Oryzias latipes: one gene and its partners. The protein of the gene in region 4 interacts with the protein of the main gene of each other region in a pairwise test. Links are inferred from orthologs where the notes say so. Each region holds a gene or a part of one and is shown on either strand. Other genes may lie near its edges.

The links.
Region 1: the proteins of pak5 (region 4) and uxt interact in binary tests that used the Homo sapiens proteins (3 or more experiments, as listed by UniProt). The two-hybrid records come from large-scale screens. The link is inferred for Oryzias latipes from reciprocal best matches to the Homo sapiens genes PAK5 and UXT.
Region 2: the proteins of pak5 (region 4) and psmf1 interact in binary tests that used the Homo sapiens proteins (3 or more experiments, as listed by UniProt). The two-hybrid records come from large-scale screens. The link is inferred for Oryzias latipes from reciprocal best matches to the Homo sapiens genes PAK5 and PSMF1.
Region 3: the proteins of pak5 (region 4) and fhl3 interact in a two-hybrid assay, tested with the Homo sapiens proteins (2 studies listed by BioGRID and IntAct). The two-hybrid records come from large-scale screens. The link is inferred for Oryzias latipes from reciprocal best matches to the Homo sapiens genes PAK5 and FHL3.
Region 5: the proteins of pak5 (region 4) and atpaf2 interact in binary tests that used the Homo sapiens proteins (3 or more experiments, as listed by UniProt). The two-hybrid records come from large-scale screens. The link is inferred for Oryzias latipes from reciprocal best matches to the Homo sapiens genes PAK5 and ATPAF2.
Region 6: the proteins of pak5 (region 4) and pdlim7 interact in a two-hybrid assay, tested with the Homo sapiens proteins (2 studies listed by BioGRID and IntAct). The two-hybrid records come from large-scale screens. The link is inferred for Oryzias latipes from reciprocal best matches to the Homo sapiens genes PAK5 and PDLIM7.
Region 7: the proteins of pak5 (region 4) and ccng1 interact in binary tests that used the Homo sapiens proteins (3 or more experiments, as listed by UniProt). The two-hybrid records come from large-scale screens. The link is inferred for Oryzias latipes from reciprocal best matches to the Homo sapiens genes PAK5 and CCNG1.

The regions. Positions count from the first base shown.
Region 1 is NC_019865.2:33,765,944-33,769,993, forward strand, and holds the start of uxt (protein UXT), read right to left. Parts: upstream 2,801-4,050; 5' UTR 2,678-2,800; coding exon 2,580-2,677; intron 1-2,579. Other genes in the region: cdk20 (cyclin-dependent kinase 20), read left to right, coding at 3,465-3,545, 3,628-3,741. UniProt on the Homo sapiens protein: Involved in gene transcription regulation. Acts in concert with the corepressor URI1 to regulate androgen receptor AR-mediated transcription. Together with URI1, associates with chromatin to the NKX3-1 promoter region.
Region 2 is NC_019863.2:32,757,443-32,761,378, reverse strand, and holds the start of psmf1 (proteasome inhibitor PI31 subunit), read right to left. Parts: upstream 2,801-3,936; 5' UTR 2,696-2,800; coding exon 2,567-2,695; intron 2,051-2,566; coding exon 1,904-2,050; intron 787-1,903; coding exon 704-786; intron 537-703; coding exon 348-536; intron 15-347; coding exon 1-14. Other genes in the region: pigu (phosphatidylinositol glycan anchor biosynthesis class U protein), read left to right, coding at 3,568-3,697. UniProt on the Homo sapiens protein: Plays an important role in control of proteasome function. Inhibits the hydrolysis of protein and peptide substrates by the 20S proteasome. Also inhibits the activation of the proteasome by the proteasome regulatory proteins PA700 and PA28.
Region 3 is NC_019874.2:23,688,079-23,691,578, reverse strand, and holds part of fhl3 (four and a half LIM domains protein 3), read left to right. Parts: intron 1-1,244; coding exon 1,245-1,414; intron 1,415-1,563; coding exon 1,564-1,750; intron 1,751-3,500. UniProt on the Homo sapiens protein: Recruited by SOX15 to FOXK1 promoters where it acts as a transcriptional coactivator of FOXK1.
Region 4 is NC_019882.2:2,145,488-2,149,746, reverse strand, and holds the start of pak5 (serine/threonine-protein kinase PAK 5), read right to left. Parts: upstream 2,801-4,259; 5' UTR 2,513-2,800; coding exon 2,458-2,512; intron 1-2,457.
Region 5 is NC_019877.2:3,256,401-3,260,628, forward strand, and holds the start of atpaf2 (ATP synthase mitochondrial F1 complex assembly factor 2), read left to right. Parts: upstream 1-1,428; 5' UTR 1,429-1,672; coding exon 1,673-1,796; intron 1,797-1,882; coding exon 1,883-1,927; intron 1,928-2,024; coding exon 2,025-2,173; intron 2,174-2,254; coding exon 2,255-2,352; intron 2,353-3,807; coding exon 3,808-3,888; intron 3,889-4,011; coding exon 4,012-4,124; intron 4,125-4,228. Other genes in the region: gid4 (glucose-induced degradation protein 4 homolog), read right to left, coding at 1-77, 428-487, 873-1,064. UniProt on the Homo sapiens protein: Plays a role in the assembly of the F1 component of the mitochondrial ATP synthase (ATPase).
Region 6 is NC_019868.2:19,546,091-19,550,316, forward strand, and holds the start of pdlim7 (PDZ and LIM domain protein 7), read right to left. Parts: upstream 2,801-4,226; 5' UTR 2,513-2,800; intron 1,516-2,512; exon of another isoform or gene 1,217-1,515; intron 1,191-1,216; exon of another isoform or gene 1,101-1,190; intron 674-1,100; exon of another isoform or gene 672-673; 5' UTR 669-671; coding exon 573-668; intron 1-572. UniProt on the Homo sapiens protein: May function as a scaffold on which the coordinated assembly of proteins can occur. May play a role as an adapter that, via its PDZ domain, localizes LIM-binding proteins to actin filaments of both skeletal muscle and nonmuscle tissues.
Region 7 is NC_019868.2:17,586,292-17,590,463, forward strand, and holds the start of ccng1 (cyclin-G1), read right to left. Parts: upstream 2,801-4,172; 5' UTR 2,664-2,800; intron 1,798-2,663; coding exon 1,534-1,797; intron 1,449-1,533; coding exon 1,195-1,448; intron 1,119-1,194; coding exon 1,040-1,118; intron 64-1,039; coding exon 1-63. Other genes in the region: septin-8-A, read right to left, coding at 3,898-3,952. UniProt on the Homo sapiens protein: May play a role in growth regulation. Is associated with G2/M phase arrest in response to DNA damage. May be an intermediate by which p53 mediates its role as an inhibitor of cellular proliferation.

The DNA of each region.
Region 1 (4,050 bases), on a different chromosome or scaffold from region 4:
TGATGCAACGACATGCAGATTGTTGAATTCACTTGCACAGCAATTCAAATGAAAGGCCAGAAAGAAAGTAACAATTCTCTTGCAATTTTCCAAATAAGTCCGGCAAGCGCTGGACTTTTTTCAGTACCGTCCCAGTGTAGGTACCATAACAGTTCGGCCTGCAACAACCGTTCAGGGTCCTTCGACTAGTGCTGACGTCACATTATGTGATGACTGTCTGTTGGTCCAATGACGTGTCAGGTAGTGATTGGTCTGGACAAATGACAATACTACCATAGAAGAAGATATTATACGGTCCGTTGTAAACAAACAGAGCTCCGACACAGAGCGACATTATCTTCTAAACGTGCTTTTAATATTATGATTATTATTAGGTGCATTGCAGATGAATGGACTGCGTTCAGAACCCTTCTCCAGACCGCACACTATGACAAAGCAGCTTCCCTGCCTGTAAACACGAAGCTACGAGACTCCAGCTGCTCTGCTCAGAGACAGGGTTCACTCTGTGGAGCAGCAGGTTCATTCTAGCAGCCACAGATCTTTACAAAGGGGGTTGTGGCAAAATCTCTATAAACACTACAAAGAATAATGTCAGACACAACTTAAGAGGGAAAAGAACTTTATGTTATAAAAGGAAACGTGAAATGAGAATATGTAGAGCCCGAGCAGATCTCCACGCTACGTAGTTTGTCCAAGTGGGGCTACCGTAATGTGACATCATCCTCAGTCGAAAGGACCCCAAACGGTTATTGCAGGCTGAATGGTTATGCTACCTACACCAGCTGCTGTTGAACAAAGGCGGCTAAAGCCTGGACAGTCTGTCCCAGGGCCCATGGAGCTGGAGCGGTTGATCTCACTATGCGGCTCCCAGGAGGCGAGCTGGGGGCCAGACAGAGACCTGCTGCAGGATGGGGAGCCAGCCTGCTCTGACCTCCTGAACTTTAGGTTTTCTTTCAGGTCTCTCTATATATAACATATATATAATCTCATCATCCTCTCCCTCATGGTGCAGAGACCTAAGCATAGTAGGACAAATAACTGGGCAAAACACAATAAAAACAGCTAAACAACTAAACACATTTGGTCAAAAAGCCACACTTAAACCCAAATCCGTCCAGACAGGCAAAGGGAATGCTATCCCACAATCCCTTGCGGTGCCGATCTAACAGCAGCACCAAAGTTACACCTACTCAATTGAATTAATTTGAATGAAAGTAAAATAACTGTCTGACAACTATGTGTTATTTTTAAGTTGACTGAACTGAAAAAAATTATTTATCTTAACTGAAGCAAATAATGAAGTTAGATCAAAGTAAAAAAGTTTATCTTTCCAACATCCATATGTGGTCTTATCACCCTCTCATGGTGTAAAAAGTATTATCTGAGCTTCTTCATCCACTAAATCATCTTCAAATGGACACGCCATGCTGCTTCACCTCTCTGTAAACAAACTAACCTTCAACTAAACCTGCTCCAGACCAGGTTATGTTCAGAGCATGAGTTGCTATGGCAACTTGACATAACCTGAAACATACCTCTATTTCTGGAACTGAAAGCTGAGGTTATCAACTTCCTTAGCCTCAAACGTACCGAGGGAGCTAGCATAACCTGCTTTCTTTTTTTTTTTTTTTAATAAACTTTATTGAAGATATACAAGATACTCATTCAAGTAAATTTTAAGTACACAGATAAAAAAAAAGAGTAACAAAATGTGCCAGGGGAACAAAAGAACAAAGGAGAAGAAAGAAGAAAAAAAAAATTATAAACAAGAGCAGAAAAAGCAGTAAGTTGCTATTCTGTACATTTAAAAAAATTCCAGGGTGTCAAAGGTTCTTATAGCTTTGGGGTTGGAAGAATGTTTTATTGCTTTGATATATTGGTTCAACTCAATCATAAAAAGTTTGAATAAGGGCTTTTTTTCAGAAAATTTGCATTTATGTATGTGGAATTTGGCTAGTATTATCAAAAGGTTAATTAAATAGTATTCCCTTCTTAGTGAATTATTAACACTATAAAAACCAAATAATATATCCTTGTATACCAAATCAAATTTTTCATAAATTTAACATCGAACAAAGGAGGTAAGGTCTTTCCAAAAAATTGCTGTTGGGGGGCATTTCCAGAAAAGATGTATAATTGTTTCAGTGTCTAATTTACAAAAGGAGCAATTTTTATCAATGTCTATGTGTAATGAGGATTTGGCTGGGTAGCATCTGTGAAGAAGTTTAAAACAAACATCCCGGGGTTTATTTGAAATAAAATATTTAGAGGACAAAGTCCAAACTTTCTTCCATTCAATATCTGGGGCAATTTTTCTCCAATAGTGGGTGCATAACCTGCTTTCTGGAATACTCCCCTGGGCCTTTGTGACGTCACAACACCGCATTAGTTCAAACAGAGCGTCTTTGAGACAGTTTGATTGACAGCGGTTTAAAAGGAGAAACACTCAGAAATGCAAAAATGAAACCATGTCTAATTCCATTTGTTGTATTTCATAAGACAAATACCACAATGTCACAAAACATGATTTTCATCAGAGGGGGACTTTCAGAACCGGAGCAGAACCCAGAGGGGCTTACCGCAGGTCTCTCCTCAGAACTTCCTCGATGAATCTTTCATACTGAAGGACCTTCTCTTCCATCCTCGAGTCAGAACCGGCGTCTGTGGGCGGAGTCATCGGGGATGGGGGGCTAATGCGGGGGCTCTGCGGGCCGGTTCAGCTCAGACACTTGTAAAGAAGTTCACAGCCCCACATGCAGTCATCTAAACAAGATTCTGAACCGGAAGTACTCCGACAAGATACTTCCAGGTTTCAGCGTAGAAGAGGAGCAGAAAAAAGAACATTTAATTTCTTTTTATGTTTAAAGCACTTTGTGCAAACAGTTGTTATTTGGTCATTTTCACTTACATTTATTCTTCCATATTCTACCAGATATATAGAACGTGGCAATTATTCATAAACTAATTCCCGGGTTAAACCTTATGTGAATATGAATTTTAAAATATATATGTTTTTGTTTAATGGCTGGTTGTGCTAATTTTATTTATTCTTCTTCGTTGTTTTATTTTCGTTGATTTGGATTGTCCTGTGATGACGTCACTGTCAACAAACATGGCGGAGAGCTGCGTTGACTATAGTTGAAACGTTTTCAAAATATCTCGTCAAGTGCCAAAGGACAGCGCACATTTGGTGTCGCGTACATGTCATCAGCTTTACGCATCAAGTAAATATCCAGCACTATACTAAATATTCAACGATATACTAAAGTTTCGTAGTTTTATTTATCAGATGTGACCGAGGCAACATCAGCGCCCACTTCCGGTCTCGTTCCGTTCAAAATGTCGTGCTTATTTTGGTTGGACGCGCCGGAGCCCCGCTCTTAAAACCCGTGGACTAAAAACCGTTAAGTAAAGGAACAAGTCCAAGTCCATAAAGATCCCCGCTGCAGCTGCAGGGGTCCTGGATGATCATGGAGCAGTACAGCATCCTAGGCCGGATTGGAGAAGGGGCTCACGGAATCGTGTTTAAGGCCAAGCACGTGCAGGTGAAACATGTTCATGGAGCAGAAAAAACAGACACCTGAACAGGTGATCATTCAGGCTGATGGATGAACGTGTTTCTGACAGACCGGGGAAACTGTGGCTCTAAAGAAGGTGGCTCTGAGGAAGCTGGAGGACGGCATTCCCAATCAGGCTCTGAGGGAGATCAAGGCTCTGCAGGAGATTGAGGACAACCAGCACGTGAGTGTGTACAGTCGTGGTCAAAGGTTTGGAGAATGACGTAAATATTGTTGGAAATTGGAAAATAATTGCTGCTTAAATACATATAATAGCATTTTGCATATACTCCATAATGTTATGATGATCAGATGAATTGCATAGTCCTTCTTTGCCATAAAAATGAACTTAATCCCCCAAAACTCTTTCCACGGCATTTCATTGGTGTCATTAAAGAACCAGCTGAGATCATTTCATTCATCGTCTTGTTAACTCAGGTGACAATGTTGACGAGCACCAGGCTGGAGATCATTCTGTCAGGCTGATGGGGTT
Region 2 (3,936 bases), on a different chromosome or scaffold from region 4:
CTGCAGGCTCACGCCTGAAAAACAAAGCGTTCATCAAATGATGAAGAATCACCTCACCTTCATCAGGAGCAGCACAGCATCCGTGATGACTGTTTCCTTCCTGACAGAATAAACCTTTCAAAATAAAAGCTCATCTTTAGATAGACTTGTTTCTGCTTTTATCCTTTAAAGTTCAGACGGATCTAACAACTCATTCAGTTCTGTGAGAAAATAACAGGAATTTATTCCTGATTTTTACTTTAACGTCATTTCTTTTAACTTTCAGAATATAGAAATATTCTAGAAAGAGAGAATAAAGACTTCTTTATCCCATCGCTGTGATCAAATCAATGCCAGAATTTCCCAACCATGGATGCTGCGTTCCCGGACCAGGACGTCTGCTGGGAATGCGTAGAGGGTCGTCCTCCTCTCTCCTCCTCCTTCCTCCTGCTTCGTCCTCATCCTCCCGCAAACTCCTCCTCCCTGCTTTCTTCTCCTGGGGGGGCAGCAGCTGAGCCCTCACCTTCTCTGACAAACCGTCTCCATTTATGAAAACCCTTCAGAATAAAAGCCTTCAGTCAATCATTTCATCCAGATTCAGGGTTGCTACCTCTGCACCCGCAGCTCTTATGGTCTGCCCTCCTCACCTGTGACTCTGTGACCCTGAGGGACTGAAAACAGGAAGAACTGCTGATTCCTGTGGGGGACGTTTTTTTACACCGACCTGTCAAACGTGTCCAGATGGTCGGCGTCCACGTGATCCTTCATGTTCACGGTCAGGTCGGTCACCTGCTGCGTGCTGCAGTTCTTCAGACACACAGAAAGCAGACGCCGTCACACCGCCGTTACCTTCAGCTGGAATCTGACGTCAGCATTTCTGAACGACGATTGTTCAGAGTTTCTGTGACGTTCGTGACGCGTGGACTCATGTTCAATACAACACGAGTCCACATGTCTGCAGGACGTGAACGGAACAGAAAAATAACATGCCACCATAATAAAGATTGAAGAAACAGACAGAGGGCTGTACCGACTCACTGCACAACTACACATAATATATTCACCAGGTTTCTGCTTCAGAAATATTTATTGTTTTCCTGTTTCTCTTTATTCTAGTATCTTCAGCCATGTTTTGCAGCTTATCTTCTACAGTTACTCATCTATTTCAACCATCCATCTATTCAAATGTTCGGCTCTTTCAGCTTTTTCCAGCTGTGACTTTTGGTCCTTCAAATCCTTGAACTTTTCCAGATATTCCAGGATTTCTGCCTCCATTTAAATAAATGGGGAATCCTTGGTGCAGAAGCTCGCTGGTTTGATACCCGGCTCTGGCATTTTTCACAAACATTTTTGTTATTGTGCTGTTTTCACTTTATTTATGGTCAACTTTGATCATTTCTTTATTTTTTGCCCGTTATTCCCCTTTAAGTTTCATTTTCATTCAGCAGTACAGCATTTAACCGGCATTTTCTTCTAGAAATGCAGCTCCTTCTAGTTTAAGTTTCTTTTTGAAGACCTTTTCAGAACTTCTGCTGGGAAATCAAAATAAAAGAAAACCATCAAAGTTCAAACCTAAAGCCATCTGATCTTCATTCAGAAAACCTTTGTTAAAATCTCTGACTGCTCTCTATTTTTTTAATTTGAAGCTATTCCACTAAATCTTCACCTTTCAACAGTTCTGAGATGATAAATAACGCCTTTGTGTGCTCCCTACATCATCAAAACACGTCTGATGTTCTAAAACGAGCCAAATGTTGCCATGAAACCTAAAAGCGGCCTCTGTGTTTTTAAATTTCAGATTTGTTTCTCTGTCGTCTCAGATGTGAGGTTCGCTGCAGACTTTTTGCATTTAATGCTTCGTTCTCCCTCATTCCAGCAGAGTGCCCACCCCCTCATGTCCTGAAGGACCCCCCCCCATGCCTACCATCAGGTTGAATATCACAGCAGAGTCCACGGGGACGGCTTTCAGCAGCATCTTTGCGTCCGCGCCTTCGTAGCGGAGACTGTACAGCTCCTTGTTGCTGCTCCAGTCTGCAGGCAGGAGCTCCGACTTCCGGTCACCGCTGCGGGGCTGGGGGGAGGGACGGGGGCGGGGGGGGGGGGTGAGACACCCTCTCTTTCAAACGCTTCTGTGCCCCCCCCCCCGCGCTAAAGATGACGTGACACTTTTTGCGGAAAGTCCATTTGTTTAGTATGAGACCAAATGGCGCGTGCCAACTGCACGAGACTAAAAATCGGACTAAAACATGACTCAATGCAGAACTTTAGGAGGTCAAAGGTCACCTAGATGGAGGAAGAAGAACCAACTCAGCGGAGGTTTCCTCTGAATCGCCTGCAGGACAGTTTCAGTTTCCATCCTGATCCTCCTGCTAATGTAGCAAAGCTAACATTTATTCCCACAGACTGAGAGTTTAAATCAAAACTGTAACTCAGAGGGACTTCAGAGGCTGTCAACAAACTACGATCTAAAAGTAAACAAACAGCATTAACTTGGTTCGTCTCGTATCTTAAATGTGTTTAAATAAAACCAGAATGTGTTGTTGGTTTGTCTCTTCTGGTTCTGCTTAAGTTAGCTAGTTCGACCCACCTCGTCTCCGGAACCGATGCACCGGTATCCTCCCTTGATCATTTCCCAGTGAACGAAACACACGAGGGCGTCCTGAGGACAAGTCAGGCTACCTGTGACGCAGGTGTACAACACCTCCAAGCCTGCCATGTTGTCTCACAAACCAACAGCACAGAACAAGAACAGAAAACAAAAATCGCAGAGTCGTCGCTTCCATAACAACCACAGCGACTTCCTGCAGGGATTTTCAAAGTAAAAGCACGTGGCTTTTAGAGGATTGCAGAAAACACATACGACACGCTAAAATAGTATTGTAGACGTGATACAGTCACAATTTAGTAATCAGATATTTTTAAAACGAACAACGATAATCTACTTCAACGTGACGCTAACACAGGCCCACAAAAGCGTTAATTTTATTTTATTTTTAAATACGCCCCCGGAAACAGTAAAATAGTTTATTCCAACTAGACGGCGAGTTGCAGTTTTGTTTTGATCCGTCACATAAATCTTTCGACTGAAAACACGCAAATGACAAAACATTCCGCATTCCGGGGTGATTAAAGAAAAACGCCTGTAATATGTGCTATATTATTGTTTAAAATTACAGCGTCTTTATGTATATTCAGCATATGCAAAATTAGAACTAACAACAAGATCATATGAAAACTCCTCTGTTGAGATTAAACTCCTTTTCAAGTTGTTTAAAATGTGTTTATTTACCTTTACACATAAAATTAAATACAATATTTGATTAAAACAAAATTCTAATCTTGATTTTAATTGCTTGAATTATGCGTTTTAAATAGTCTTTTTGTAAATATGTTCCTTTATTATTATTATTATTATTATTATTATTATTATTATTATTATTATTATTATTATTATTAAACTCGCTCCTTATCGCTGCTTGGACTGTAAATCTGTGGAGGTTGGAGGTAAATGTTTTCCTGACGAGACGGAATAAACTTGACTTCCCAGCATGCACCTCGAGCGCAGGGCGAGAGAGCTTCCTCGCGAAGATGGCGGCTCCCTTGACGCTCCTAATGATTGTCGCCGTGACGGTCCGTGCCGTTCTATTCCGGTCCAGTTTGGCGGAGCTGATTTCAGAGAGGGTGGAGGTGGTGTCACCGATTACTGCCTGGAAAAGAGGTGAGCGGGCCGCCGGCGGGGGTCCGGAGCGCACCGGTCACACACGCCTCGCACCCGCGCGCCTCCCCGCTGCGCCGGTAAACCGGTTCGGCGACAAAATCTGTCACAAAAGAAATCTGTAAATGTTTGGAGAATGGTCGACGAAGGTGAAACGGTGTCAGACTCGGACTCTGATCCGATTTTTGGTCCCCAAAAAAACCCCGAACTGAAGGAACTCATCTCTGATTATTATCATCGAT
Region 3 (3,500 bases), on a different chromosome or scaffold from region 4:
TAAATCTATTAAAATTTTGGATGGCAAAATTAATCTTCAAATAACTTTTACTGTGAGGTGCATTGCTCAACCCTTACTGTTATGTCTCTTCTGCCACGTGATATTTAAAAGTTGAAAATAAGCAAATGACTTGAAAAGTTGATGGCTCTGCAAACAACAGGAAGCTAGGAACAATGAAACTGATAAGGTAAGCAATCAGGCAGACACAAAAGAGGAAGAAGTTGTAGAATAAAAGGGGTGAGAGGGGTGAAGACGAGGGTCCCGAGCTGAGCAGCACCCACAGGTGAATGTGCCTTTGCTCAAACTGCTGCATTGAAGTCAAATCCCAAGAGCTGGTGTGCGGCTCACAAAACCATTGATGGCAACGGATAAGAGATATGCTTTACTTCCAAATTCTCCGTCATGGATTCTAGATCTGACTGTTAAATAAATATAGTTTGACTGAGCAGATTACAATGACCGTTGCCCAGATTTATCTTAAAATAAGCAAAGTTACTTCACATGAGGTACATAAGAATCCTCCATGAAAAGTTCAACAGATGAAGCTCCAAAAAATCCTCACATTGCTCAGCCGAACGCTCAGCTCTTGTTCACTTTATTGACTCCTATGGGGAAAAATAATGGTGTTATCTGTCATTATTTAGTTCACTCAATCATAGATTTTTTACATTTTAAAATATTCACAAACCTACAAATAGGAAAGTTTAAGTTTAAAGCCATCCTTAAATACTGTTGACAGGGTAATGTCTGTTCAAAGGTTCAATAAAAAAACTAAAGTAAATTTTGCTTTTGGTGTTGGTATTGTGTTTTTTAAGCTTACAGGAGTTTATTTATCACAGCCCCTGCCACTACACTGAACAAGGAATTCATTTTACATTCCAGTTTATTCCCTTTTATTGTTGGCTTGCCTAACACAGTGAGTCTTGTGCTACGGTCTGGTAGAATTTATAAAGAGAATTTAGTGTTTTTGATCTGAAAATGGTTTTGTAAAAAAATTGTTTACCATTTCTTAAACCAATCGGAAAAAACATATTCTCCATTACATATTTAAGAATGGTTACCATATGTAAATGATATAAGTCAATAAAAGAATCAGTTAGATAGGGGAATTCAAACGTTAATGTTCCTTTTTTTAAGGTTGAACTTAACCTTATTAGACACATCTCTGATATTTATAACATTATACCATTTTATTTTTATGTGTTTGTGCTTCTTATTAAAAATGTCTTCTCATGCATACACAGGTACAAGAAAGCTGGAATATGCTGGCTCTACATGGCACGAGGGCTGCTTCATCTGCCACAGCTGTGAACAGCCTATTGGCTCCAAGTCCTTCATCCCTGACAAAGACGAGCATTACTGCGTACCTTGTTATGAGGACAAGTTTGCTCCACGGTGCACGCGCTGTAAAAAGGTCAGATTGTTAATTTATATGTATACAGGAATTCAAATTGATTTTTTTTTAAAAGACCCTTCTAGTGCAGTTTTGCAGTTAATGACATTGGTCAGATTTAAAAAATAGAAGATGAAAAACTTATTTTGTGATTTTCCTTTTCCTTAAAGGCTTTGTCTAAAGGTGGTGTGACCTATCGGGATGAGCCTTGGCACAAGGAGTGTTTTGTCTGCACCAGCTGTGAGACCCAGCTAGCTGGTCAGCACTTCACCTCCAGAGATGAAAGCCCTTACTGCCTCAAGTGTTTCAGCAGCCTATATGCCAAGAAATGTGAGGCCTGCTGCAAACCGATTACAGGTAAGATTTTATGGTTTTTGTTTTAGAAGTAAGTTGTAGTGTGCATTAGCATTCTAGTTTTCTTAGCCATTTCTTTTTACATCACATCTTTGTAACATCAAATCCTTCATAGTAAAAGTGTTTTTTTTCTAACAATAATGCATGTTGCTTACAGAGACTACATATGTGCAGAGCAGAAATGTGTTTATTTACTTTAGACAAAAGTTGTCAGTTGGAAAAGCCTTTATACAGGTTGCCTTTAACTGTATTATTTTAACAAGTTAGTTAAATGACAGCTGACAGGCTCAGATTGTTATTTTAGGAATCTGGCAGCGGTGCAGAAAGGCGCTCTTCAGTGATAGACCTCTTTGTTTACGTTCTGTTCCTTCTGCTCTCCATTGTGCCATCTCTATTAGCACTTGTGTTATTTCTGTAGGCTACAAGAAGAAAAGACACTCAAATTCCAGTCTGACTTGACCGTTTATTTTAGCAATCAGACACAGAGAAACTACTATAATCACAATTCATGCCACATGCCAGCTTTATTTTTTTATGACAAGTTTTAACAATTTCAGATGGGAATTTAATTTCACGTCTATCACTATTAATTTGAAGGAACAAATATGGACAACTTACGCCTTTGACCTCCTTCTGTCCAGGAAAAGTTTTTTTGCAGCAAGACACATAATTTTTTGAATACAAAAGTCAAATGCTTGGACATTTTTCCCAAATGCAACATTTTCTAAGATTTTTTTAATGTTTTTTTATTTTGCTTTTTTTTTACCTAGTCATTATGCTTTGGCTAGTGTTCAAATATAAAAAAAGACCAAAGAGCAAAAAAATTGGAAGGTAAAATATAAATGTTGCAACAAATACCATTGCCAGTGTAAGAGTGGGAATAATTAAGCCAGGTCAGGTGAAGGCAGATAAAACTGTCTATGACCAAAATCTCCTTTTTATTTATTTTTTCTAAAATGCAAGTTGTTGTTTGAAAACAGGTAATTTTTGGATCTAAAGTGATTGTTGCACATGTCCCAATTTTGATAGAGAAATATTAGTACTTGATGGACAGGTACCCTGTCTGTGCAGGACGAACACGTGAACATGTCTGTATGACTTGTATGTAAAGCTGAGTCTATACTTTCCAGGAATTCAATGTTTAGGTGATAGAACTCACCTTTGGTTAAGTAATGAGGGGGATTGCATTGTTCTGTTGAAGAGCTGGTATTGACTATTACTGTTCCCAGAATAGTCATCACATAAAAAAGTCAAAATGCACAGATGGGGTTGACTTTGTTTCCAGTTGTCACTGGTGGGTAAAATGCAACATGATCAAAAATCCCAATTTGAAGAATTTAATTCCACATTGAAAATGCAATAGTTGTATGCTGTGTGCTACCAACAAGAGGATACCCATCAGAATACAGGACTACAAATTGAATAAAGCTTAATACAAAGAAATTAAGTTAAAATCTCACTCAAATCATCTTTTGATCCATTGTAAAAGTATTGCTTTCGGTCTTTTAATTATGATGATCGTTTTTAGTCAGCTCGGATGAGGAAAACAAAGAAGTACATGGATTAATTTGTCTGCAAGTGGATGCATCAGAATGGATCGGAGCAGTGAGCTTGTGGCCCACCAATCAAAGGACCTGCAAGCTTTTTCCAACAGCATTTTTGTCTGCTCCTGATTAGCAATGATTTGAATTAATACAAATGATGAGAAAGACTTGTCTTTATATATGTCCTCTATCATCACAAAATCCCACAA
Region 4 (4,259 bases):
CTGAAGCTCTCTCTTGGAGTAAAGATGCTGACCCCTCACCTAGATGGAGATGAGATGATTACAGACTATTAGGGCTTAAACCGGCCAAGCTGCACTGACAGGAGACAAAACAACAATTCACCCCCCCATAAACCACTGAATGCATGTAAGGCAGCAGACTGTCAAACGTGTTCATGCACTTGAACAGCCACAGTCCTGGGAAGCTTTTAGCAGCTTCGTTTTCACAGCAGCTTCAGGCTGCAGGTTCGGGTGATGAGGCTTCTGGGAGTTCACAGACACTGGACGGTTTCAGGAAGAAAGGTTCACCTTTCTCAAACCTTTCTCTCTCTGCAGGTTCTCTCTACCTGCAGAATCCTACCTCACCTTTTAATCCACTGTGAGGAATGAACGTGCAAACATCTCCACCTCTTTCATTCTGCAGAAGTTCAGACTGGATGTTAGCATCACTTCTCCACAAACGCTTCTGAAGGAAAACAGGAGAAACTGCGAGGATTATTTATGAGTCCACTGTCTTCTGAAGATAAAAACGATGATGGTTCATTTAAAAAAAATCATTTAAATACATTTTTGGGGAAAAATTGTTCTGACGCAATGCATTGTGGTCTATATTTGCTGATCTAGTGAACATCGATGCACACTGGAGACTTCTGGGAAATTTCCAGGGCACTTGATTTTGGAATTATAGATTTGGACAGCACTAGAAAATGGAGAACGCACTACATAGTGAGTAGGGAAGGAATTCGGACACAACCCAGGTTTAGTCTACAACCAAAGTTTCATTGACCTTTGACCTTAGGAAGAGGTCACCATCTTAGGTTTATAAAATAAAATTACCTTTAGTACCTTCTACAAATGTAAACTCTTCCTAGGGACTTTGATCTCCTCGAGCATCACCGGGAAGCTACTTAGATTAGGAATGTGGGCGTGGTCAACAAAAACCCCTGTCGGCAAGGATATCCAAAACATTACTTTTCCCGATTTTTGCTAAAATTACGTAGATTTGTTCGTCACCCCCAGAAGACCCAAAAGAACAATGGTTACTATGGAGATAAAACAAACAGAAAAGCCACCATTTTGAAAAATCTGTCATTTATGAATTTGTTAAGTGTAGCTCTGAGCAGGGTGGCAGGGGCAGAAGGGGGGAAATGAGGGGCGTGTAGCCAGTGGGGGCGGGTCAAACAAAGGATGGCGGGTATGGGTAGTGCCTACGCAATGCTGCTCACGGCTTTAACCACATTTGCATTTTTTAAACCCTCCTGTCTTTATAAAATGCTTAGATAAAAGAAAAAAGTAAAGAAACGCCTCACTGTCATGTAAATTTGGGTTTTAAAAGATCAAAGAAAGTTCTTTTGCTGGTCTGTGTTTTCTGACCGCAGCCAAACGGTTAGCAACCTCAACTCTTGAAGACAAGACAATAAATTCCTCAGAAAAATGTATATTTTGCTTATTTTGGCTGGAAGATAAAATCTTTTTCTCATATAAATCCTCCTGACAACCTGAGCCCCACTTCTTCACATTTGGTATCATTGGAAAGCCCCAAATGTCCTCTGTAGAAACCAGAAGTAGTTCATCTAGTAGTAGACAGTGGTTGGAAGATATTCAGGTTTAGAAATGTCCACTACAGATGATACATTTCAGTTAACAGGGGTATAACATGAATTTCAACCTTTAAAAGCTTCCAACAGGGAAACTACAAAAGGGTTTAGTAATATCAGTAACATTTCATCCTGTGGGGAAGGGGGAAAACGAGGAGTTCCAGCTCAGAAATTCTGACAAATGAGAGGTAAATATTCTCTAATTATAGAACAACTAAAATAAAAACACTACCGGTCTCAGGGCAGAGATCCTGACTCCCCGATGGATTTGTCTCCAAACCATCTGTCACCATCTGAACCTCCACAGGCTTCCTTCCACTTTGGGCCGTGGCGGCGTGACAGACACTCGCCGCGGCAAAAACGCATGCACATGTACAGACGGTGCATTCTTATCAACGCTGACCGCTGCTGGTTTTGGGTAGCAAATGTCAGCCCGATGGACGTGGCAGCGCTGGTTCTGTGGGCCTGAGATGGTGATTTCCAACACATCATTTCAGCCACTGCTTGTGATGAACTGGATCCAGGGAGGGACCACTTGCATTAAACATGCAGTTGTTTCCATTTCAAAGGTCAAAGTGAGCTTTCTCGTCTTTTTTTTTCTGTCAGCACCATCTCAAAAACGACGTAAAATAGCAGATCTTTGTCTTCATGTCATCAGCAAAAGTCGGACTCTTTGATCTCCTTCTCTGATTTACCTTCATCTCGTTTCTGCAGGTGATTTAATCTGATTAAAAAGTCTCCACATTTCTGCCCCCAGAAACATTTGTCCGGCTGGAAAACAGCTTCAGGTGAGGACAAACGTGCCTCATCATCTCACAGATGTTTGCCGCCTCTCCTAAAATCCAGAGTGGCTGAATCTTACCTGGAAACAAACTGGCGGTTTCTCTTAACCAATGGAAATGCCCTGGATCAGCCATCGTCAGGTCACTAAAGCCTCCTCACATGTTGAACTTCCATGCAGAAAGATTCATTTTTCATCCTTTCGGCATGGAACTGGATGTCCCCGCTCTGGAACTGTAAACCGGTAAATCTCTGGAGCAGCAGTGCTCGCATGAAGTCATCAAACTGACAAAGCGGGTCAAGCCCAGGACCCGCTGCAGCCCCCCTCGAGCTGCTCCATCTCCTGCCTGCATGCTCTGATAACTCTCAATGTGAGGCTGTAAAAATGCCGACGCCAGCAGCCCGCGCCGAGCCGCAGCCGGACGGCCCGAGCCCGGACCCAGCCCCGTTTCACCGCCATTGTTTCCCGAACGGGTTGGAGCTCCTCTGAGACCGTCCTCCAAGTGGGTCACAGAGGCCGCAGAGCAGCGGCGTGCCGGTGTTTGTGTGGCATCGACCGTGGGGAGAAATACAACGCTTCAATCCAAACAGAAAAAGATTTGTCTATTAAAGTTATCTATACTTTTTTATTCCAGAATATTTATCATATAATAAATAAATAAGTAAATCTTCTTAAAATATTGATTGCCAAAATTTATTTCTTTTTAATTCAGTTCTCATCCCAAAAGAAAATCTTTTTTTGGGCTAACATAAAGAGAAAAACATGTTTGTAAACTTTTCTTAAAGTTTGAGCCTAAGGTTGAGATTAGCGATTGTATCTTAGTGTCCAGTCGTCACCTTCTGTGGAAAATATTACTCCTCCAGCTAACAAATGCAGTTATTTTTGGAAATTTAGTTAAAGCTCTTTGAACTTAAACTGTGGTTCTGTGTTTTTGGTTCCAAAAAGCCCTGAAAAGATTGTCCTCAAATGCTTTAATATGAAATGATGACTTCCCAAAGACCAAACTAAACACCAGAAGAAAGGCTTTTCCATGGTTACGACCCATCAATAATCACTTCAAGCTTTCCAACTAAAAACATGACTTTGACCCCCTATGACCTCTAGAAAATCAATAGAAATCTGAGAGCAACAAAACTTCAGGATCACCCAAAAGTTTTCTAAAAAACTAGAACAAAATATAAAGTGGAAGCCTCTGAACGGAGCATGAAGAGCATCTTTTAGCCCTTTTTGACTCTGTGAAAACAATCTAAAGGATGCTTTTTTTTACAGAAAAGCATCGTTTGACACATAAGGACATGTATTATTTGCTCAAATTGCCACCGGGTTTAAACTATTTAAAGATTAACTATGCTGTCCGGTCAGATTTAACGTCGCAGTGAGGCGATGCAGAGAGGCAACGTGTTTGATGGTTGAAACGCAGAGACACAAGTACTGCTGGGAAAAGAAAAAAAAAAGGCTTTTTTTTTAGAAATGCATGCGGAGGAGTGAGATAAGCAGTGTGGAGGTGTGGAGCTGCAGACTAAATACAGAACCAGTGATCCGGCGTTATGCACATGCATGAGGGACGGCTGCACCAGAGTTTATTTGTTTGTTTGCTCCAGAGCAAAGCCGATCCCATTTTCCAGAGTCGAAATCAAACGTCTGCAGAGTTCAAAACTTTAATTGCCACTGAAGGAAAGCATCCATTGAAGTCGTTATCTCCTCCTGTGGCCACATAATGAATGACCTGGATGGAGAAGGACGGCTGGGACTGGGAGCTGCAGCCCCGAAGACAGAAAAACCCGTTCTTCACTCTGAGAGCAAAGATGTCTCCATATTTATGAAAGAAGACAAAGTCAGTAAGTCCAGTAAAGTTCTAATAAATGATCTCTAAAAACTCAACA
Region 5 (4,228 bases), on a different chromosome or scaffold from region 4:
TCCCACTTTCGGGTGAGGAACGGCCTCTTCCTGCTGATGATCTCCCCGGCGAAAAAAGTGGTCAGGGTCGGATATTCCTACGAAAATGTGCAACTGGATTATACCAACAATCTTGTTTTGTAAACTTTACAGCGTTAAGGCTAGGTTATCGCTATGTATAAATCATTAATAGAAAATTAAGACGTTTAAAAATATTCTAAGCAAATCGATCCCTTAATTAAAAATATCTGCACTTCAGAGGCAGAACAAAACAAAAAACTATGTAGAATTATTTGGCTCACGATCAGTTGGACTAATATTTAGTCATTGCAAGAAAAATTACACAAAAGGTGGAGGAAAAACTTGCAAAAACATTTAAAATTCTAAGTCCAGTTCATCCACATGTACATATTCCAACATGAATCCTCTAAATATGAACAGAACTGACCTCTGTGAGTCCTTTTATTTTCAAATAGCCACACAAGTAGGAATCCTCCATTGTGACATGCTGTAACAAATAATAAACAGAACTTTTAGGTCAAATCTCCACTGAATTTATGTTAAAAAAAATAACAAAAACAAAACTTGACGGTCAGAAGCTGCAGTTTCTCAAAAAATGTCAACAGCCCCTAATGTTGCAACATTTAAGCTAGTTGTGATAGTTTGTGTTAATTTAAACTGGTAGAAAATTGTGCAGCTGGTTGTTGTTAGTCGGTGTTGTTTGGGCGCAGTTGCTCTGCTACTCCCACCACTACACCCACAGTTGGTCCAGGACAGGCCGGGACCCCCTTTTTTTTTCAGCTGTCACTCTTCCAGCCGCCACTTTGACACATCACCCGAAAGCCTCGCGCTCGCAGTACGAAAAGCAACATTTCCGCCTCGGTGCCCCCCACCTGTAAGACCACCTCAACGTCGTAGGAGTTCCCTTTGCTTTTCTGGTGGCCTCTGAACTTGGAGCCGCTGTACAGCAGCGACGTGACAACACCGGGCTGGTGAGTGTTTATCGGCGGCAGCGGGATAAGCGAGGCCGAGGATGCAAAGGCCGCGGCCGGGAACTCGCTGAGATATCCAGCGGGGACAGGCATAGCTCCAGCTTCGCAGGCTGAACTCCAACCGCGGTCAACGGCCGTGCGGCAGCGGGACTCGGTCAACCTGTACGACCAGCCAGAAAGAAAGTCCCGAGGAGGTCCTCAAACATTCAAATTGCTCTTAATTGCGCCACAGTTCAGTTTGCGAAGCATCAAGCTCCCCAGAACTAAAAGTGGACTTCGAAGCTGCGCTGTAACCAGTAGCAACGGCTTATCTCATTGGTCCAACAACTTCACCCTCGAAGATCGTCGACGCTCATTGGCTGAGCAGGCGGAAGAGTATTCGTGAACATTTTTGATGTAGTTTTTAAGTGATGTGTAAGCGTTAGCAGTGCCAAAAATAAACTACATTTCCCAAAGCATGCAATGAAAACATTTTGTAGCTTTGTAGCATCGAAGGTCACACGCGTGGTTTTGAACCGATGTGTTACTGTAAGCTAGATGAAAACCTTAATGTTTAACAACAGATTTATTGTAGAGTCAGGTTCATTATACACTCAAGATCTGTTTGTTCAATGTGGTACTTTAGTGCGTGAGAGACCGGCTTAAGAAATCGCTAGTGAATCGTCTTTTTTATTGTAAACAGTATACGTCCAAATTTAGGTATGAATATGTTTAGACGTGTTTTTCAACTTCGAAATTCCTTTGGAAATGTAATTTCAGTTTGCAAGTCGTGTCCCAGTCATCAGTACTCCAAGTGTTTGTCAAAATACTCCACTGCATCTACAGGTAAACGTGTTTATTTTGACATTACTATTATTAATTATCAATATGCTGTGTGCTAATCATGTGCTACATGTTTTGCTATTTGACAGAGAGGAAGAGATTTTATCAAGATGTCAGCATATCTCAAGGAGATGGTGAGTCTTATTTAAAATTTAAAATAATTTTATTTATTGTTCCAGGGAAGACCAAGATTGATTATATTCTCTAATTTTGTGACGATTTTGTCCATAGATGGTTTGTATGAAATAAATCTGGATAGAAGGAAACTCAAAACTCCAGGAGGGAAGCTGTTCACAGTACCAAATGAAGCCCTGGCTATCGCCGTGGCAACAGAGTGGGATGCTCAGAGGGGGACACTCAAGTTTTATACCATGCACCTTGTATGGGATATTTTTTCTGACCTATTTACACCACAGTGTGTAGCCAGCCGTACTCATATGCCGGTTGAACTTTTCTTGCAGACCACTTTGTGCAACACGGCTCTGGACAACCCCACCCAACGCAACAAGGAGCAAATGATCAATTCAGCGTTGAAGTTTTTGGAGACTGACACGATCTGGTATGGATTTAGCTTTTATACTGTTTCTGTCCAGAGTTGATGATTATTTGGCTCATTTATGCCGGTTACTCAGTTTAAAAGATAAAACACCTGTATTTCAAATCAATATTTTACTTGAATGGAGAAAAAATGTTCTTAATCTAGAGAGAAAAGCAACAAGGACTTCAAAATAAAAGCACCTAACAGAAATACCAAAACAATAGAAAATTCAAAATTAGGTTTGTTTAGATAAAAAGTACCCAAACAAATCCTGGACTTGTGAGATGCAACTACATCTAATATGTTTTTTTTTTTTTCTATTTCTCTTTGTAAAAAATAAAACGTTATCTGCCATTCTGTGCTCTTTTTTTGCAATTTTTTTTGCAAATAATAGTCAAAATGCAATTACTTTTTAGCTTTTTGAAAATGTTCGAACCTATTAATATAATTTAGACTTTTTTTTTCATTATTATAAATTATACTTGTATAATGAGATATATTGTTTAACTGTCAACTATGTATTAGATAATCCCTTTAGTTCTTTAAATTTATATATTACATATTTATTTATTTCCCTTGTCTTTTTAACTTTTTACACATATTTAAAAAAAACTTATTATCTTATTCAGAATTTAATTTAAACATTTTATTGTGGTCCTGAAATATTCAACTTCTTTACACTTGTCTGCTTAATTGTTTTATGGATACCTTAGTAGTTTTAGCAAACAGATTTGCATCAGTCTTTTATTTACAATTATTATGTTTTAGCTACTTTATTGTGTAGGTGTGAATTTGTAATACATTTATTGGCACTATATATCTTTTTACATTTTCTATTTACTTTAGCATATTAGCTTAGGATTTAGCAACGTTCACTTTCTTAATTTCTTTAGCTAATTAACAATTTTATTTTACTGTTTTTTTGTGTTGATCCTTTTGTTATTGTGATTATTATTAATAATTATGCAGTGTATTTTTAGTTATCTCCCTTTATTTGACTAATGTAGCATTTTGCACTAAACTGTAATGCCACTGTAAAAGAAAGCAGATGTTTTTAGCTTATTGCAGAAAACTAGCATTTTTGTTTATGGAAATAAAATAAAAGAAATGAATTTTGGAACTTCTATGAATTTCATATACTAGATATTTGCAGGAGAAACTTTTTTTTCTCGGTCCATTGTCAGATGATTCCAGACTCCAAAGCATTAAAAATAAAGAATTACTGTGAAAATGAATGCAACAAACTTTTTCTTTGACCTAATTTCTTTAATAGGACCATCATTGTCTGGCCAGTAAAGTGAAAGCAAGGTCTGTTTTGTTTTCACCGGAGATGGTTGCCATATACCTGACTGTGGAGCAGGCTGTGCTGCTCTCTTATAGCATCTGCCATTTGGCTGCCTCTTTTTTTTAAGTTTCATTTTCAGATTAAGTTACCTTGTTGTCACAAAACAGTGATTTATTTATGCTTTGATTCAGTTACAGAGTGGAGGATCCTCCTGGTTTAGTGGACCTACAGAAGAACGAGTGGGATCCGGTTCTGCACTGGATTGAAAACCGGTAAAAAAAATAAAACAAAAGCATTAATCTTCACATCTTGTGCAGTAGACTTCCAAATGATGTAGGAACTGTCTCAGTAAACCATACATTATTATGCATTTTCTCTGTACTATTGCATGGCAGATACAATGTCACTATTGGATCTTCATCGAGCATTCTGGGTCCTGAAATTCCACAGGCAACCAAGGAAACTTTTCGACAGCATCTCAATTCTTACAGCCTCTGGTCCCTGACGGGTAAGACATCTCAACTCCAGAAAACGTGATCATCTATAGATCTCAACTTGTGCAGGCTGAGATGATGTATTTATTGTTTTTGAAATGTTTAAGAATTGTGTCTG
Region 6 (4,226 bases), on a different chromosome or scaffold from region 4:
AGACTTTGGGGCTCATTAAAAACAAATGGAAAGCTTCAAACGTTGAAAGCCTTTGTGCTCTTTAAGAAGCAATAACCTCAGCATACTTTCAGCTATAAACATAATTCAAACTTTTACAGCTTCAGCAGACATGTGGCTTTTTCCCTTGTACTTGGTTTTGTAAAAGTTCTTTGTTGTTTTTAAATAAAAACACTTTTAGTTTAATAAAAAAATAATTTAAAAAATCCTTTTTGGTCAAAAAAATAATTTCCTTTAGTCAAAATCATTCCTTTAAAAGAAAAAAATTGCCATTATCAGTAATTTGTTGTATTGCTAGGCAGTTTTGGAGATCGTTGTTGAATTTAACAATATTTGGTTATTGTTGTTTTTTTTCCAGCAACTTTAAAAGTTATCTAATCAACAATTTAACTTAGCAGCTTCTGCTGTTAATATTGGGTATTTGCACTGCAAAGTTTTAGCATTTGTTTCAGAATTTTGAATGTTATTTAATCCCTATGCACATTACAGCATCTTGAGTCAACAGCTCAAGCTGAATTTTCACAGAAAAATGCAATTTTCTGGCATGTTCTTACCCTTGACACGGTGAGGGGCATGCTGAAGTCCTTGCCTCCCTGCAGCCTGAAGCCCCATGGCGCTGGGCCATTGAGGGTAACAGTGTACAAGTTCATAGCCTTGAGGAAGAGGGAACACAAGGAAAAGTCTAAATTAGTCAGAAAGCCAGGAAAAGGGATCCGAGTCCATATATTCTTTCCTACTACTGCCTTTTCCTGACACGTTCCACACAGACAAGCAATTTTGACTGTTTTTCTTCATGACATACTAAACATGGAGGTTTATAATCCAACTAAACTCAAGTCTGCTAGATTTTATTCCAGTGGTTTGCATCTCGTAAAACAGTGATGCAAATCGATTCATATTTCTCTAATGGTGCTAACGGGTAAAAAAAAAAACTAATGTTCCAGCCTTAGAAGGGAAAAAAAGAAGGCAATAAAATCCCAGGGCTGCATCTACATGATAGGACATTCCTGCTTATATCAACACACTTTGGGGAGCTGCACACCAACAACACTTAGAGACAGAAGAAGAAAAATCAACTCAACTGTTGTTGAAATGTAATAAAACGCCGTCTTTTTAGTTCATTTTTACAACTGTACAAGAAGACCTTACAAACAGGAATTCAACAGCAGACAGACACCTCACAAGAAAGTCCTTTTACATGAGCGTGTCGACGTCACCAGCTCTCACCGTGACCTGACCGCTGACCTTTGTGCTCCTGCTCGAGCACTTGCTCCTCCTCTCGTTGGATCTTACCAGCTCCAATCCTTCCTAATGATAACACCGCTTCCCAGCGCTCAGACCTACCTTACCCTCGAGGGCCGGCTTGTAGCCCAAACCTGAGAGAAAGACGGGGAGTCAGCGAAGCCGGGCGAGCAGAAAGTACCCCCCTGATGCTGCGTGCGACACAGACAAGTCCTAGCCTCTGCTCTCTCCTCAGAGGCTATATAAGGAATGTAAAACTACACCAAACTATTTCAGCCCAACACCCACATGAGTCACAGGGGAGGGGGGGCACTTGGAAGGAGAGAGGTAACGTCAACTACCCCTTCATTTTGACAAAGAGTCAAAACATAAGTCATTTTCATTTCTGTATCCTTCTTTTCTTTCAAGAATCACACTTGGGAACAGAAAAAACCTTCTAGCACTGTAGTTTCTCTGGTACGAAGCACAACAAACCCATTTTATTATCCACTTCTTTAAAATTACATAGAATAATTAAGCTTAAGACCCAAAAACTAATGTAAAAACATCCCACTTCTGCCAAAAAGAGGACATAACTAATAAAATATCTTCCCAACTAAACCAAATATGAGTTCTTTTGTGTTTTTTATCGTTTGAAATTGATATTTTCCTTTTGCAAAAGCAAATTAATCCTCCGTTCATAAAGTTAAAGAGACAGTTTAGAGGATTAAAAGAAACATACAGTTTAACAGCAACAATAAATCAAAAGTGTTGGAATCCTCAGATGATGAACTACCTTTTTAAATACCAATTCTGTACCAATTCATTCAACTAAGTCAGCAGGCTGAGTCAACTCATTTCACCGTTTTTTCTAATTTACTGTCAGTCTACTTTATAGGAAACTTATGCTATTCTTTAAGGATTAAAAAAATACACTAACCATCTAACACTGTATAGACACAGTTACGAGCTTATATCGAAAGCTTTTACGTGATTTTAATAGGAGGGGTAATTGAAGAGCATGCTGGGAACTCTTAAGACAGCAGCTAGACGTTTGCACAGAGAAGCAAGTAAGCTAACCGGACGGGGCAGTCCAAAATATCTGCTCCAACTCAAACGTTAGTGCTGCTACAATTTGATTTAATTCAAAAAGGCAAGTTAAGAACAAACAATTAGAACAGAAAAACAGCCGGAGGAGAAGCCAACTAAAAAAAAGTTGTATTGAAGTTAAAATAGCACTCATAAACTGAAGAACTGTGTCTCATAAACATACCTCTACCTCCTTGTATCCGCTAGACACCACAAGACGGGGAGTAGAATTTAAAAAATATTATATCCCCAAAAATTATCTACTTTTTGGGACTTCCTCTCGGCGTCAGGAAGCCGTTGAAGATCCCCCCCTTGAGCAGCATATGCATTCTCCTAAAAAAAAAAATCTTTTACGGCGTGACACGTCACAAGTCACGTGGGAGGTGCTACACTGATATCTGCGACCGCGCCATTCGGTGCCAAAGCGAGCCTAGTTTCTCTGCAAATTACGTCTTTGACAAAAAAAACTGAAATGCTTGGGCTACAACCAGAAGGCAACAGGGAGAGTGGAGGGGGCGTGATGTTTGTTTGTCAGAGGAAACGCATGCTAAAAGAGCATGTCATGGCAATTTTCATTAAGTGATAAGGACACAAAGAAAGTGGGACAGATAACAAATTAGGATTACAAACTAACTTTTATACTTAACCATTGTGCTATATCTTACATTGACGTGTTCTCCCTACCATGATATATGGGAGAGGATTTCATGTAATCCAATGGACACCGGTGAAGATCACAAATCATTGAAGAAAAAGGATTCCACGTACTGTCTTGTGGGGTCCAGATGACCCCACTCCCAACGTTAAAGTGCCTTGGATAACACAAGCGTTTAAAAGTAAACAATATGGTTATATTTTTTGATTTAGAATACATTTTGATTTTTAAAGATGTATTTTGTTTTAGAACAGAAGAAAAACACAAATAAAACCCTAACCCTAAGTTTTGGTGACTGTTCTATGGTAAGACTTTTTTAAACCAAATTAAAAAAAAAACGTTTATATGTATTTTCAACTCCCTTTTTCTTTGTTTCTCCCTCTCTGCTTTTAGTTCTCAGTTTTTTGTTTCAATTAAGTTTTCGCTGCTGAGCTGATAAACTGATCCAAATTTGACCCCATACTATTTTACTGCCAGAAAATATATACTAAATGTAATAAAGGCCCCTATAGATAAATTAAAATCATGGAAAGATGACTTATCACTAAATATTAATGAAAACGATTGGACAAGGGGATGTTGTAGTAACAGTCGACTGAGAATACTACAATTTAACCCTTGTGCTATCTTAGATGACCCCATCCTTACATTGATGTGTTCTCCCTACCATGACAAAGGTGGATAAAGGTGGAAAGCTTTCATGTAATCCATGGACGCCAGTGAAGATCACAAATCATTGAAGAAAAAAGGTTCAGAGCACTGTCTAGTGGGTCTAGATGACCCAACTCCCAATGTCAAAGTGCCTGGGATAGCACAAGGGTTAAATGGTTAATGCGTTTGTATACTACACAAGTGCAACTAAATAAATATAATAATAACATACCAGATGTTTGTGCAAAATGTGGATTTAAAGGCACATTGAAGCATTGCATGTGGGAGTGTCACTAAATACAAATCTTTTTGGAAGAAGTTAAAATTACAATAGAAAAAATAAGCTCGAAACAATCCTGTGGATGTCTCTGTGTCTATTTTAAATACACCTGACAGGCAGCCTTTGATAATAATAATAATAATAATAATAATAATAATAATAATAATAATAATTGATACTTTATTTATCCCACAATGGGGAAATTCTTCCCTGCATTTTGATGGGTAAAAAAAAAGTAAAAAAGTTACTTAAAAAAAAGTAACTTGGTTTACTTTTAACAGCAGCACATCATAGACACCACATGCTAGTTTC
Region 7 (4,172 bases), on a different chromosome or scaffold from region 4:
CTGTTCAGGGTCATGTTGATCCTGGGCCTCATAGCAAACTAGAGCCATTGCAAGCAAAGAAGGCTGAAAAGAAACAGCAAATCAAGGGGGATTTGGTTAAAACGAGCATGGACGACATATTTCCTTTTTAAGAAAATTCTAGTTATTTCCAGAAGTCCATCCCTGAAAAAGGGATGACAAATTGAACCTGGAGCCAAGTTCAAATAAATTTAATCAGCTCAAACTAAATGAAAGTTAGGTTTCCTAATTCTCTTTTTCCAAACACAAGCATCAGGTTGCATGTAAGAACAGTGTGTTTGACTGATCATGGCTAATCTTTTCAACCTTCTGCTGAACTCAAAGGTCTTGTCTGTTTTCGTCTGCACCATCACATTCTTTACACGTCTGCTTTTAAGAAGCCACTTTGACTGGGGGAGGGTACACCTTTGATAATCCTATGGAAACTATTCGAGGAGAAATAACTTCATGTTGTCTCTAACAACTCAGACTGAATCTATTAGCCTAACACATTTGTTTTGATAAGTGTTTCCTTTTCCAGATCAGTCACCTCAATAAAGAATTGTAAAAAACAGATTTCAAGTCCCCTCAACATAAATAAATCTGGAGTATTCACATGTGGGACTCTGTTCGTGACAGAGTCACGAACGAATGCCTTTGGAAGTTAACCAAACAGGAGCCAGTGGAGAATCAAATCAAAAGGAGAAAGTGGGGATGGCTCGAACACACGCTCCGAAAACCACAAAACAGTATCACTCGCCAAGCGCTAAAGTGGAACCCACAAGGCAAAAGAAATCCAGGACGGCCCAAAACAACATGGCAGAGAACAACGGCGGCGGAAGCCAAATCTCTTGGATTATCATGGGGCCAGTTAGAAACCGCGGCCCAGGACAGGAGAGGCTGGAGAGACCTAGTAGACGCCCTATGCCCCGACAGGGGTGAAGAGGATTAATGAATGATTCACATGTGGGGTACGAGGTACAGAATCATTTTTTTATCAGAACAGATGATCAAAATTTGTACACAGTTTCTCATGACATACCTTTATTTTGGAGAAAGCAAATGAGCAATGACAGGCTTTAAGCTGCGACTCCAGTCTCTCGATACTTAAGATCATTTTGCTGTTGACAAAAAGAGTGTTCAATGATAACATTCAAACTGGAAAAAAAAAAAAAACATATTTTAAGATTAAGTTACCCCTCAGAGTCAAGCTGCTCCTGGATATGACTGTGAATCAGTCGAAGAAAGTGGAGGGTTGTGGGGGCTTTCACCTTCCAGTATAATTTCTCCATGACGATCTTCTCCATCCTCATCATATCAGACACAGTGAAGCGATTCTGACTGATGCGGATGAGGTCATTTGCCAGAGGCACATTTTTCTCCTCCTCTGAGGACTTTATAGCGATGTAGAAGCAGCAAAGACCAACACAGGAGAGGTGCTTTGGCTGAATCTGAAATGGACATGAAGGGGAGGCGTGTCATTTTATTTAATTTGTAGAAATTCATGAAACAAGCCAGAACAGTTTCATTACAAACCTTCATTACAGAGAGAAATCGATCCAGCAGGCTCACAGCCAAGGAGAAGGTCTCTGCGCTAAAACCAAAGAACCTGGAAAGAGAGAGCAGGTCTTTCACCTCCAGCTCTCTGAGTTTTGCAGTCATCCTTAGGCCATTGTCCTGGGCACACTCAATGAGCCTCAATCCGCTCAGCTTTGGTTGGTATCTGGCCTCCAGATCTATCAGGGTCTTCAGCTGAGCTGCAGAGGACTGCACTCCAGCTCCCGTCACTGTATCAATCATCTGTAAAGAGCAGGAGAATGTTGATATTATTTGGAATAGGAAAATAAAAACCACATGCCAGGTTATCCAAATTTGGGGATTTTGAGTGAGCAATCTGATGATCTGCACACGGGACACAAAGTATAACATTGCATTGGTCTTTGGGTATTAACTTAATCAATTTACATGAAATGAGAAAGACACCCTTGAACCTGTGGATTACTGCACGCAACCTGCTTTATATGCCTAAAAACGTGTACAGCTTAGGAGAGAGCAAGCAGACCGAGTTTCTATATTGGTAAGTTATCAAGTAACACATTTGTTACAGCTGTCACCTATTTGAACTTTAGATGGGGGGATAACGCATGATTGGACACAATTACCACATATACTGGAGATAAATACAATTCAAACAGGTATCTGGAGTCATAATCAAAACGTTGTATTCCATTAAATACTTCGTAATATTGATAGATGGCTATTAGAACAGTAGGTAAATGGATCAGGCCATGTTGGGGCAGAACCCGCGACATGTCGGGACATGTTCCTGCCATAGACAACAACGCTTCGAGGAACACACACTAGTCCGTGGTGTCAACACATTTGTGAAAACTTTAATAAAGACTTTACCGAAAAACGGATATATGTGCTTCAAGCACTAGCTAGGCTATGAACTTTTTTTTTTTTACTGTATGGAAAGGAGAGTTAATCGAACTGCAGCTAGCTACTCAAGCTAACGCTAGCTACAACATATCTCAATTATAGTACTTTCTATGGATCAGTCACAACACAAAATGCTTCCTATTTTTAATTTTAGGTTGACTTCATTTAACCATAATTGTGACATGTAGTGAATGTTGTTACACAAATAAACGTGGTGCACCTACCTTGAAAGCGTGTTGTCTTTAATGATAAAAGTTATGATCCACTGGGTAATAAACACGGAGTTTTGTAGAAAAATAAAACTTAGCGTAAAAAAAATTTTTAAGCAGAGGTTGATTTCTGCCTATGCACACCCCCTACCCTTGGTTAAGGCGACGGGGAAAAGGACAGTTTAGGTAAATAAGAGTGCATAAGAAGCTAGGGTCTGAGCATGGGAGGATTTGATTGGCTAGCAGCTGAGTCTTCTATATTTTAATTGGATATTCACAAAAAGTCCCACCCCTTCACGAGGCAAATGACCAATCAGAAATGAGAGATATGGGCGTGTTAGAAGTGACTTGTTGAGGCTCAGAAGAATTTTTTATTTAAGATTTTGTAAAGTAATAGTATATTTCTTATTTAGATGAAAGCTAGTAACTTATAATAACAATTTTACCTTAATAACAATAAACAATTATAAAAAGGTGTCTACACTCGGCAACCTTATGTGTTTCTAGGAGGGATCTAGAAGACACTGGAAGGAACCTGAGCCTCACCAGCGAGTAAGCCCTGGCTGTTAGTTGTCACCAGCTGGAGCTGACCAAAACCAGTTTTTGTTTTTTTTAATTGAAAAAAATAAAACAACAACAACGATACAACTATAATAATGCATAATAATATTTATTTCTTCATAATCAATGATATTGACATAACACAAATTTACAAGATTTATTTCCAAAGGTTTAGGTACATTTATTGTTAATATTTATTTTCTTTAATAACACAGTATATTCTTTTGGCACTTAAGACTAGTTGTATCTCCATCTATAGGAAATATTTTTAGAGAAGCACTATTTATAGTTTTAATATTATTTAAGATACATAAAATTATTCTATGAAAACTAAAGGTGCTTCTAAATCATAGAATGATCAAACTATCTTTGTAACCATCAAACAGCAAATGCAGTTCAGTTAACAGTATGAATATCACAGTGTAAGTATTCATCAGTTAGAAAGAAACCATAATAATGGCACGCTAAATGAAGCAGGGAGGCATATTCGGTACAAAACCAAGACTTTGGCAATGGAGAGTGCAGGAAAAAGAGCCTTAATTCATGCAGAGACCATGCCACAAAGCATTTATAAGACAGAAGAGGAAAGTCAAGTTGATGTGGAAGACTTCAGGCTCTCTTAATTCAATTTCTATAAAACGTTCAGTAAATATAGTAAAATTAAAGAAGTTTGACGTTTTGGTGTCTTCTAATTCAAATTCCTTCCTGAGGTTAAGGAGCACGCAGACGGAAGACTAAAGAAGCTATGAAAGGAAAGAAAAAGGCAGGTTATTTGTCTGAACAAGTAACATTCATAAGGCAAAAATTTAGCATTTTCTGTTTTTCAAGTGTCCTGACAGATGTTCTTGGCAACTCAGTGAAGACAAAGGATGCAGTCCGAATGTTGTGAATCATCTAAATGAGTGAAGTGATTAAAGCCCCAAGGCCAGAGGAAGTCAAAAAGGGACACGGATGACAAATGAA